Linked DNA regions of Daphnia pulex. The protein of the gene in region 2 binds, or shares a complex with, the protein of the main gene of each other region. Links are inferred from orthologs where the notes say so. Each region holds a gene or a part of one and is shown on either strand. Other genes may lie near its edges.

Region 1 (4,291 bases), on a different chromosome or scaffold from region 2:
TTTTACGATTCGTGGCCAGCCGGCCGTCGCTTCGCAGTTGACATGGCCGGCTTTGCGGTCAACATCAAATTGCTCCACCAGTTTCCCAACGCCACCTTCGTTTATAAAGTCGGTTTCGAGGAGGACAGCTTTTTACAAGAAATAGTCACGGATGTTGGTTTCATTGAAGCCAAAGCAGCTAACTGTACCCAGGTAGTTCAACCTTGTATCATTTAATTTGTCAGAAACTAAATTGAAAACAAATTTTATTTTATTTTGAACAGATTTTAGTGTGGCACACTCGTACCGTTCAAGTGCCTATGGCCATGTTACAGCCACCCACCCTTATTATAGACGATACTTCCATTTCGGGACTGCTTCACGCTTTAGACGAAAATAAACTAGCTTCTTTCTCTACTTCAAGAGGTATAACATTCATGTTGATTATTGATTATTGAAATATTGTCTCATCTTTTTATTTTGAATTACCCAACAGGAAAACCCAGTTCTGTGCACTATCTGACAGATGTCTGATATTAATCACTTTCGCCTGGCGGCGGAATTCAAAGAGTCAAAAATTATATAAAACTTCCTGTGTTTACTCAGTGCCATTGGAAAAAATAAGACTTAAAACTACGAGATTGTCGACATCGGAGAAATTGATGGGAATGTGTGTAACGCCGAGTGAAAACTTTTTATGAAAAACGATTGCATCGTCGTCATTTGTAGGTTTTTTTATTTGCAAGAAAAAAGAAAACGAATTACCGTGTGCCCTTTATATACTCATTTATGGATTCCACCTGTGATAGTTTACAAGAAAAAAACAATAATCAATCGTTCTTCTATTGCAATTCAATCTTCCTGATGGCGTAATTTTAGTCGAGATTTTCGAGTATAACATGGAATCTTTTTTTAACTGCTTATCCAGACAAGATATGGAATTTAAATACAATGATACTAATGATTAAATCTGAATAATTTCTCTAACAATTCCTAGTGTAAATCATAACAGCGTAGGTAAATTCTGGTTAAAGTGTTAAGAAAACAACTTCAACGTAAAATATGAGTGTACTTAGCTACTACTAAGCAACTGTATACATTCACCTTCCAAGTAAATCTATTTGAATAATCAAAACATTTTATCAGGTACGAAATGATGCAGTAATATTTCGGCAGCTTCGCCAGCTGTCATGCAGCCTTGTTCGACATTCTTTTCCATTTCGTGGATGTCGCGCTTGACTCGGGGATCCTCGCGAAACACCTAAAGACGCCAGAAAAACCTTCAAACATCAAACTGGGACACAACTCGGTCGACTACGAACTATACCTGCATGATATGCTGAGTGATGTAGTTCCACATCCAAACGCGCTGCTGCTTGCGACGCGTTTCCAGAAGCTCGCCCGTTCTCAACATGGTCTGGTGGAACTCCTGCATGACGGCCCATAACTCGGGTAGTCCTTCTTTGGTTAGCGAAGAGACTTTCAGGACCTAAAAACAGAACGAAATGTCACTGAATTGATTCAAAGATTTAATTACATGGGTCAATACTTTCGGCCGCCAATTCGGTGATATTGGTCGCATGAACTTGAGTGATGAAGTGTATTCGTACTGCATTCTCATCGCGGCTTCCATCAAATCTCCATCGGCTTTGTTCACAACTACCAGGTGACTGTGCTCCATTATACCGCGTTTCAACCCCTAAACGAATAACAAAAAGAGATTTATCATAAAGTGGAAGAAAAGCTAATTGAATGGGGTTTTAACCTGAAGTTCGTCTCCTCCAGCCGGCGGAATCAGAACAACAAACATGTCGACCATATCCGCTACGGCGTATTCAGACTGTCCTACACCTAAAAATTGAGAACACAGAAGCTGCTGTTGACTAGTTGATATTTGGCAAGGAGATGGGAAGCTTACCAACCGTTTCAATGAAAACCGTCTTGTAACCAGCAGTTTCGCACATAATTATGGCCTCATTTGTGGAACGAGTGACACCACCCAAATGTCCACTGGTCGGCGACGGACGTATAAAAGCATTCAGGTCTCGTGAAAGTTCTTGCATTCTTGTTTTGTCACCCATCAGTGATCCTAGTGAAATCTGAAAAGTGAATTTGATCTATAAATTAATTTTGCTCACGGCATTTTGGATGTACCTCCATTTGTGGTAGAAGATGGATCAACTGCTAAAACAGCAATTTTTTCCCCCTGACTGGTAAGAAACTTGCCCATGTTTTCCAGGAATGTTGATTTTCCGGCACCTGGTGGCCCTGATAATCCTGAAATTGATCACAAAGTTAATAAACAATTTTGTTTCTCGTAAATTGTAAAATCTAAGCCACATTTTATTACCGATCCGAAAACTGAATGAATTGTCATTTTGTTGACATTGTTTGCAGTGCTGCAGAGCTTTCTTCAACAGGGATCTGGCCTGCAATCGTTTTCTTGGATGGGTTGACTCTGTTAAAGTTATTGATCTAGCCAAACAAGCTCTATTCGACGATAATAAACCATTATAGAGTGTATCTACAACATTTTCCTCCCGACTGTCAAGTTCTTGCGATGATTGAACGACGATTTGAAATGATCTCGATAAAGTATGAATATTTTTTACTGACGTCCTACCACTCCCACCCGTTAATATATTATGTCCATTCAGAATCTTGTATGCCCCAGGAATAAATTGTCTAAGCATTTTATTACACTCACAACAACTTCAGTTTTAAACTCACAATTTTGAGGTCGGTTTAATATGAGAGAATTTTGAATTAAGTAAAACGTAAACAAGTTGTGTGTTATTAAGCAGACGACGATTTGCAGTCGAAATAAACAACACAACATCGATTGCCTCCTCGCGAAAGGCTAAAATGCGGAATCCATTGTTGCAGAATTTCAAGGCATTGGAAATTTGGAATAGAGTTGGCCTAACGTCCGAAGTTGCCAATTTTATTTAAGCGTCAAAAAACGTTTGTAAACGACTAAACGTCCCGCGGCACGGCGGCAGTAGGTTTATTCCTGTTTGACTGCGTATTTTTATCCTGGATTGGTCATTTTAAAAAAAGTTTTAAGTTATTAACGAATGATGGTATATTGGTATTGGCAGATTGTGAAATATACAAATTGCATTTTTTAAAAATCTATATATTGATCTACATATATCTATAGTTGATGTCTTTTTAGTTTGTTTTCGGTCGTCTGTAACGGCCCACGTTCGTATGAATAGGCCCAGCAGCCAAATGAATATAAAGAATGCAGTTACTTTTTGCCTATTCCTGTCTCTCTTTCGGTCTTTCCGAATTGAATATCTTTATTTAATTATTTGACTTTGTAAGAGTAAGAAATGACGGCGCCGCTGTCGATTGGACATGTGTGGTATTGCATATTCCGAGAAAAAGAAAGCCCACTAGTATACTAGAAAAATAAAAAAGATCCCGACTCTCTAGAGATCCATCTGGGTTATCGGAAAGAATGTCCGTTGGCTTTGTTTACGCATTTTATTTTAAGGGTCTAGAGATTCTGAATTAACGGATGTTCAACACCAATTTGACGACCAATAACTAATTGGTAGGTACTTAACGAAGTTTCTAGGTTGGTAAAAAACATTTAACATTTCAATTTAACACTTTTAAACGGTACATTATCAGCCCGTTTAGTCTTCTTCCGAGGCAATTAGAAGGTCATCGCCGGAGAAAGCGCCACTTGTTTCATTGGAACTAGTCGGTTCACAACATTCTTTCTTCGTCATTTCTTTCTTCATCAGAACTTTCTTCGTCAGAACTTTCTTTAACTTCTTCCTCCTCATCCCGAGCACGGTTTCTCATAATTGTGCGATAAGATCTAAGTTCGGCTGGATTCAATGTCTAAATTACAAAATTCGATTACATAAAATTAGTACAAAAATGGAACGCTTGAAATTACCCTGATGAATTTTTCAAATTCGCGAACGTAGTCTTTATGCACCTTTTTGAGTTCTTCAATGAACTTCTTCTTCTCTTTCTCAGACACCCTTCCCCAAAGAACCTCGATTTCAGCATGAGTAAGTTGACCCAATTTGGAATGATGCGTCATAGCGTAATAAGCAGCAGCACTCCTAATAATGAAAAAATATTTCAATGGTACCATCACTCCACAGTATAACAGAAATTTCAATTACGCTGGTGGTTTAAGTGGTTCAGTCATCTTCTCTGCTTTGAATAACGATTGATGACTGGCCGCCAAAGAAGATGATTTCAGTGTTGTTGAAGCCATTTTTTCTGTTGATGACTTCATATTGGAATTGATTTGGGAAGGTGGTTTGTCAGATTTCGAATCAGC
Region 2 (4,481 bases):
GAAAGAGACACACCTGGAATAGAGGGCCGATGTCGACATCGAAGCCAAGGTCAGCGAATCCAGTAGCGATAACTTTTGCGCCACGATCATGTCCGTCTTGTCCCATCTTGGCGACCAGGATGCGTGGACGACGACCTTCTAAGGCCACCAACTCATCAATCTATCACGGGAATCGCCCTCGCCGGTTGAATTATCATTTGGAATTGACATGCAAATTCAAATTTGGTTCAACCTACCTTTTTGGCGACTACTTCAAACTGCTCCTTGTCGGCGAATTCACTTTTATAGGCCCCAGATATCATCGTGTCGTGCGCTACGTGACGACCAAACACCTGTTGGTTACCAAGCCCCATTTTTAGAATGCGTAGAAATCAAAGAAGAAAAATAAAGAAAAGATTTTTCCTACTTTTTCCATGGCTTGGGTTATTTCGCCTACGGTGCAGCGAGCACGAGAAGCCTCGACGGCCAAGGCCAATAAATTGCCCTCGGCACCGGCAGCGCAATCTGTTATCGCTTTGAGACACTGTTCTGCCTTGGCCGAATCACGGGTTGCTTTAACCTGCAATAAATAATTGAATAACAGATTCAATATTTTAGTTTAAATGTTTGGTTAGCAAAGTAGAATTTACCTTGTTGATTTTATCAATTTGTTTGTTTCGAACTTCTTCGTTGTTGATCATCAAAACGTCTACTTGTTCCGGGTTCTCCGGTTGATATTTATTTACACCCACGATTGTTTCTGAATAATTCAAATATTTGCGATTAAGTTTTGCCAGTCAGAATGGAAATAAAATAAAAGTACCATAGCCGGAATCAATTTGAGCTTGGCGACGAGCTGCGCATTCTTCGATTTTCAATTTTGGCCAGCCAGAAGCTACAGCTTTGGCCATACCACCCATTTGCTCCACTTCATCCACAATTCGTTTTGCTTTGTTGTAAACCTCGTCAGTTAGGTTCTCCATCATATAACTGCCGGCCCATGGATCAATGATCTATTGAGAGAACTTCCAATAAATATATAAAACAATTTTAAAACATTTTAGATCTAACTTTTGGTATTCCTGTTTCTTCTTGTAGAATGATTTGTGTGTTACGAGCGATGCGGGAAGAAAACTTGGAAGGCAAAGCCAAAGCTTCATCAAATGAGTTGGTGTGAAGGGACTGGGTGCCACCAAAAACGGCAGCCATAGCTTCAACTGTCGTGCGGACAATGTTATTATACGGATCTTGAGCAGTCAGTGACCAGCCAGACGTCTGACAATGAGTCCTCAATGCCAACGACTTTTGGCTCTTTGGACTGAAATTTTCCTGGAGCAAATGAGCCCAGAGACGACGAGCTGCTCTTAGCTTGGCGATTTCCTGTTCAAAGCACAGATAATTACAAATTCAAGGGATTTAAAATGTTACAAGATTTGTTTACCATGTAAAAATTCATTCCAATGCCAAAGAAGAAAGAAAGACGTGGTGCAAACGCATCGATTGATAAACCTGATTTTAAGCCTGTTCGACAGTATTCAATGCCATCGGCCATAGTGAATCCCAGTTCAAGAGTTGCAGTGGCACCAGCCTCTTGCATGTGATAACCAGATATACTGATTGAGTTGAACTTGGGCATTTTCTGTATGTAAAAATGATAATAATCAACAATACGCCGAATGATGGCCGACATCACAAAAAATTTTGGTACCGCAGAAATGTAACTAAAGATATCACCAATGATTCTCATGGAGGGAGCTGGAGGGTAGATGTAGGTATTTCTAACCATGAATTCTTTTAAAATGTCGTTCTGAATCGTCCCTGATAAGAGTTCCGCTTTCACACCCTGTTAACATATTATCATTACCAGCTTATTTATTTTTAAACATGTATTTGCATACCTGTTCTTCGGCAGCAACAATATGCATTGCCAAAACTGGAATCACAGCCCCATTCATTGTCATAGAGACAGACATCTTCTCTAGAGGAATACTATCAAAGAGTGCTTTCATGTCCTCAACACTGTCAATAGCCACTCCAGCCATTCCTACATCACCATAAACTCGTGGATTGTCAGAGTCATACCTAACATACAAAGAATATTAGGTATATCAGAAAATAAAGACTAAAACATGTTTTTACTAACCCACAGTGAGTGGCAAGATCAAAAGCCACACTCAAACCTTGTTGACCAGCCTTAATGTTTTCTTTATAAAACTTGTTGCTTTCCTCGACTGTGCTGAAACCTGCATACTGTCTGATTGTCCATGGCCTTTGGGAGTACATTGTAGGATATGGACCACGAGTATAAGGAAACTTTCCCGGTAACTCATGTTCAAGCCTGATTGTTTTAAAAGATTTAGGATTTCTTATGATCAGTGAAGTTTAATAACATTTTATTACTATGTACCCTTCAACATCCTTTTTTGTGTAGATTGGTTTCAAAGTGATGTCTTCTGATGTATACCAGAGAAGTTCTTCCTCTGGATTTTTACCTTTCAACTGTTTTTTTGCCAAGGCTGTCCACTCAGGATCAAGAGGCTGTCTATGCAAACATCTGAATTGGCTCACCTAAGCAAAAGATTTATGCAATAAACTTTTTATCAATGTTGGAAAATATTTTTCTACTTGCGACGCTGAGATTAAACGAAGTGAGCTAGAATATCTCAAAAGAAAAGAAGCCATGGCAACAGACAGTTTCAATTATCAACTTTTTGTTACAATTGCGCCTTATCGAATAAAGAACGTGTTGGAGACGAAAACAAATGGAGGGAAATTGTGCAGCAAAATGTAAACACCGCAAAACACTGGTGGCCTAAGAAATTTCAAAATCGTCTGCTAGTGGAGTTTAGTTGCTCGTATCTAAAACGGCCGCTAGATGGACGTTTAGGTAAAGAATAACGCGAATTTATGAATAATTTTCCCGGAAATGACTGTGTGAATACCTAATGTATTTCCTCTTTATGAAACTATAATATCGTGATGGTAATTACACTTCCCATTCCGTGATGGTAAACATCTCCCATTTCCCCCATCTACTTAACCTCCGCGTCAATGAATTTAACTCTTATTTTATATTTCTTATGAATTTATGATGATCTACAAGTCAAGACTCCTAACCGGAAGTTTTTAAAACGCACAAATTGGAGCACGTTCAAATGCACTTTATATTTCTGATTTACGTATAGTCGTAATTATTCCGGGAATTGAAACAATTTGCAATCTTCAAAATTAAAACAACAATTTTCTCAAATACTCAAATAGACCAATTTAATTTTTTTGGTTCGAGTTCAAAGTATAATCAGATAAAAACCAGGAAGAGTTTTTTAGGACTGACCCTGGTAATCGAAGGGTGGACGGCTTACGTCCACCTGACACTGTCAATACAAAGCGAACAGATAACTGGACAGACATAATGGACTGAAAGGACGTGTTTCGATATCAAATAAAAATGTTATCAAGTTAAAAAAAAAAAAAAAAATCTGGAATTAAGGTAAACGTCATGGCCAGACAATAGTTCAGTACTTGTCAAGCGTCGCTTTCGCAAGTAGCAGAAAAAATGGAAACTCGAGTGAAAGTTTTCGGCTTTTTTGATATTCTTCTTGGCATAACGATGATTATGACAGAGGTAAGAAATTTTTTTCCAGTTATTACAGACTATACTTAATTATTTTTTCGGTGAATGAATTCATTTAGTATTCAGCCATTGTGATGTACTCTCTACCAATGGACACGACTGGTTCGGGTTTATGGGGAGGAATGTTCGTTATGGTAACGGGAGTTGTGATCATTAAAAGGTTGTAAATTAAAAAACTAAAAATTGCGGAAACACCGTTTTAAATGATTCATGTATGACTTGTTCAGGCACAACATTATGGTCCTAGTTTTTTCCATTTTATCAGCCATGAGTGGAATTATCATGATCTGCCTTTATATCTGGTCTTTTACTTTGTACGGAGACATGATTTCTTCCGGGTACACTTGTGGTGCGACGTTGTACATGGGGCATTCTATTTGTAAGGACCAACAGAACATTGAAATCTTTCTTATTTGAAATTTAAAATGACTCATCTTAATTATATTTTAGGCAGCCGCATAGCCCTGGATTCGCTGTTCCTCATTTACGGAGTAGCAGCGCTCTGTATGAATACAATATTAATTCACGATGCTAAATGGATTGAACCCCACAAAAAACAAAATGAAGCACCCGCATTGACCAACATTCCAGTAGTGGTCACCATAACACCCGCCGCGACCAATGGACACAATTTATCGTAAGTTGGAAATTAAAAAAAAACGATAAAAATTTTATTGCTCAATTTAAAGAGCTTCCATTGCCTTCTGCTGTTTCTTCAAATATATGAATTCGTTTGAGTGTTAATGTATGTTGATTATACTGAATGAATAGAAAAAAATATGAAACCCAGCGACATCCCTGAAATAATCGTTTTTTCTAAAGCGTTTTTTTTTTCTTTTCTTCTGTTTTAAATTTTAAAGTATTGAGC

Evidence for each region.
Region 1: the proteins of methylmalonyl-CoA mutase, mitochondrial-like (region 2) and methylmalonic aciduria type A homolog, mitochondrial-like are in contact, whole or in part, in a crystal structure (PDB 8GJU), measured with the Homo sapiens proteins. The link is inferred for Daphnia pulex from reciprocal best matches to the Homo sapiens genes MMUT and MMAA. Residues at the interface, in NP_000246.2 of Homo sapiens: Lys496, Glu609, Arg610, Glu611, Gly612, Arg613, Arg614, Arg616, Ala635, Thr636, Ala639, Asp640, Gly642, Phe643, Asp644, Val645, Asp646, Ile647, Gly648, Pro649, Leu650, Phe651, Gln652, Glu656, Gln659, Gln660, Val662, Asp663, Ala664, Asp665; in NP_001362573.1 of Homo sapiens: Arg98, Ala99, Ala102, Glu103, Thr106, Glu109, Ser110, Thr111, His112, Ser182, Ser186, Gly187, Gly188, Ser189, Leu190, Leu191, Lys194, Thr195, Met197, Thr198, Ser201, Arg202, Met204, Tyr207, Ile208, Arg209, Pro210, Ser211, Pro212, Arg214.

What each region holds. Positions count from the first base shown.
Region 1 is NC_060024.1:5,534,227-5,538,517, reverse strand, and holds methylmalonic aciduria type A homolog, mitochondrial-like, read right to left. Parts: upstream 2,833-4,291; 5' UTR 2,673-2,832; coding exon 2,330-2,672; intron 2,257-2,329; coding exon 2,134-2,256; intron 2,069-2,133; coding exon 1,898-2,068; intron 1,831-1,897; coding exon 1,745-1,830; intron 1,679-1,744; coding exon 1,529-1,678; intron 1,469-1,528; coding exon 1,307-1,468; intron 1,241-1,306; coding exon 1,109-1,240; 3' UTR 749-1,108; downstream 1-748. Other genes in the region: galactosylgalactosylxylosylprotein 3-beta-glucuronosyltransferase S-like, read left to right, coding at 1-192, 264-405, 476-513; nucleolar transcription factor 1-like, read right to left, coding at 3,700-3,837, 3,896-4,067, 4,131-4,291. UniProt on the Homo sapiens protein: GTPase, binds and hydrolyzes GTP. Involved in intracellular vitamin B12 metabolism, mediates the transport of cobalamin (Cbl) into mitochondria for the final steps of adenosylcobalamin (AdoCbl) synthesis.
Region 2 is NC_060028.1:10,601,063-10,605,543, reverse strand, and holds the start of methylmalonyl-CoA mutase, mitochondrial-like, read right to left. Parts: upstream 2,836-4,481; 5' UTR 2,662-2,835; coding exon 2,605-2,661; intron 2,548-2,604; coding exon 2,387-2,547; intron 2,318-2,386; coding exon 2,123-2,317; intron 2,062-2,122; coding exon 1,878-2,061; intron 1,823-1,877; coding exon 1,688-1,822; intron 1,619-1,687; coding exon 1,421-1,618; intron 1,360-1,420; coding exon 1,051-1,359; intron 993-1,050; coding exon 803-992; intron 740-802; coding exon 630-739; intron 560-629; coding exon 407-559; intron 333-406; coding exon 237-332; intron 161-236; coding exon 14-160; intron 1-13. Other genes in the region: uncharacterized protein LOC124210015, read left to right, coding at 3,536-3,604, 3,673-3,773, 3,841-3,992, 4,064-4,254. UniProt on the Homo sapiens protein: Catalyzes the reversible isomerization of methylmalonyl-CoA (MMCoA) (generated from branched-chain amino acid metabolism and degradation of dietary odd chain fatty acids and cholesterol) to succinyl-CoA (3-carboxypropionyl-CoA), a key intermediate of the tricarboxylic acid cycle.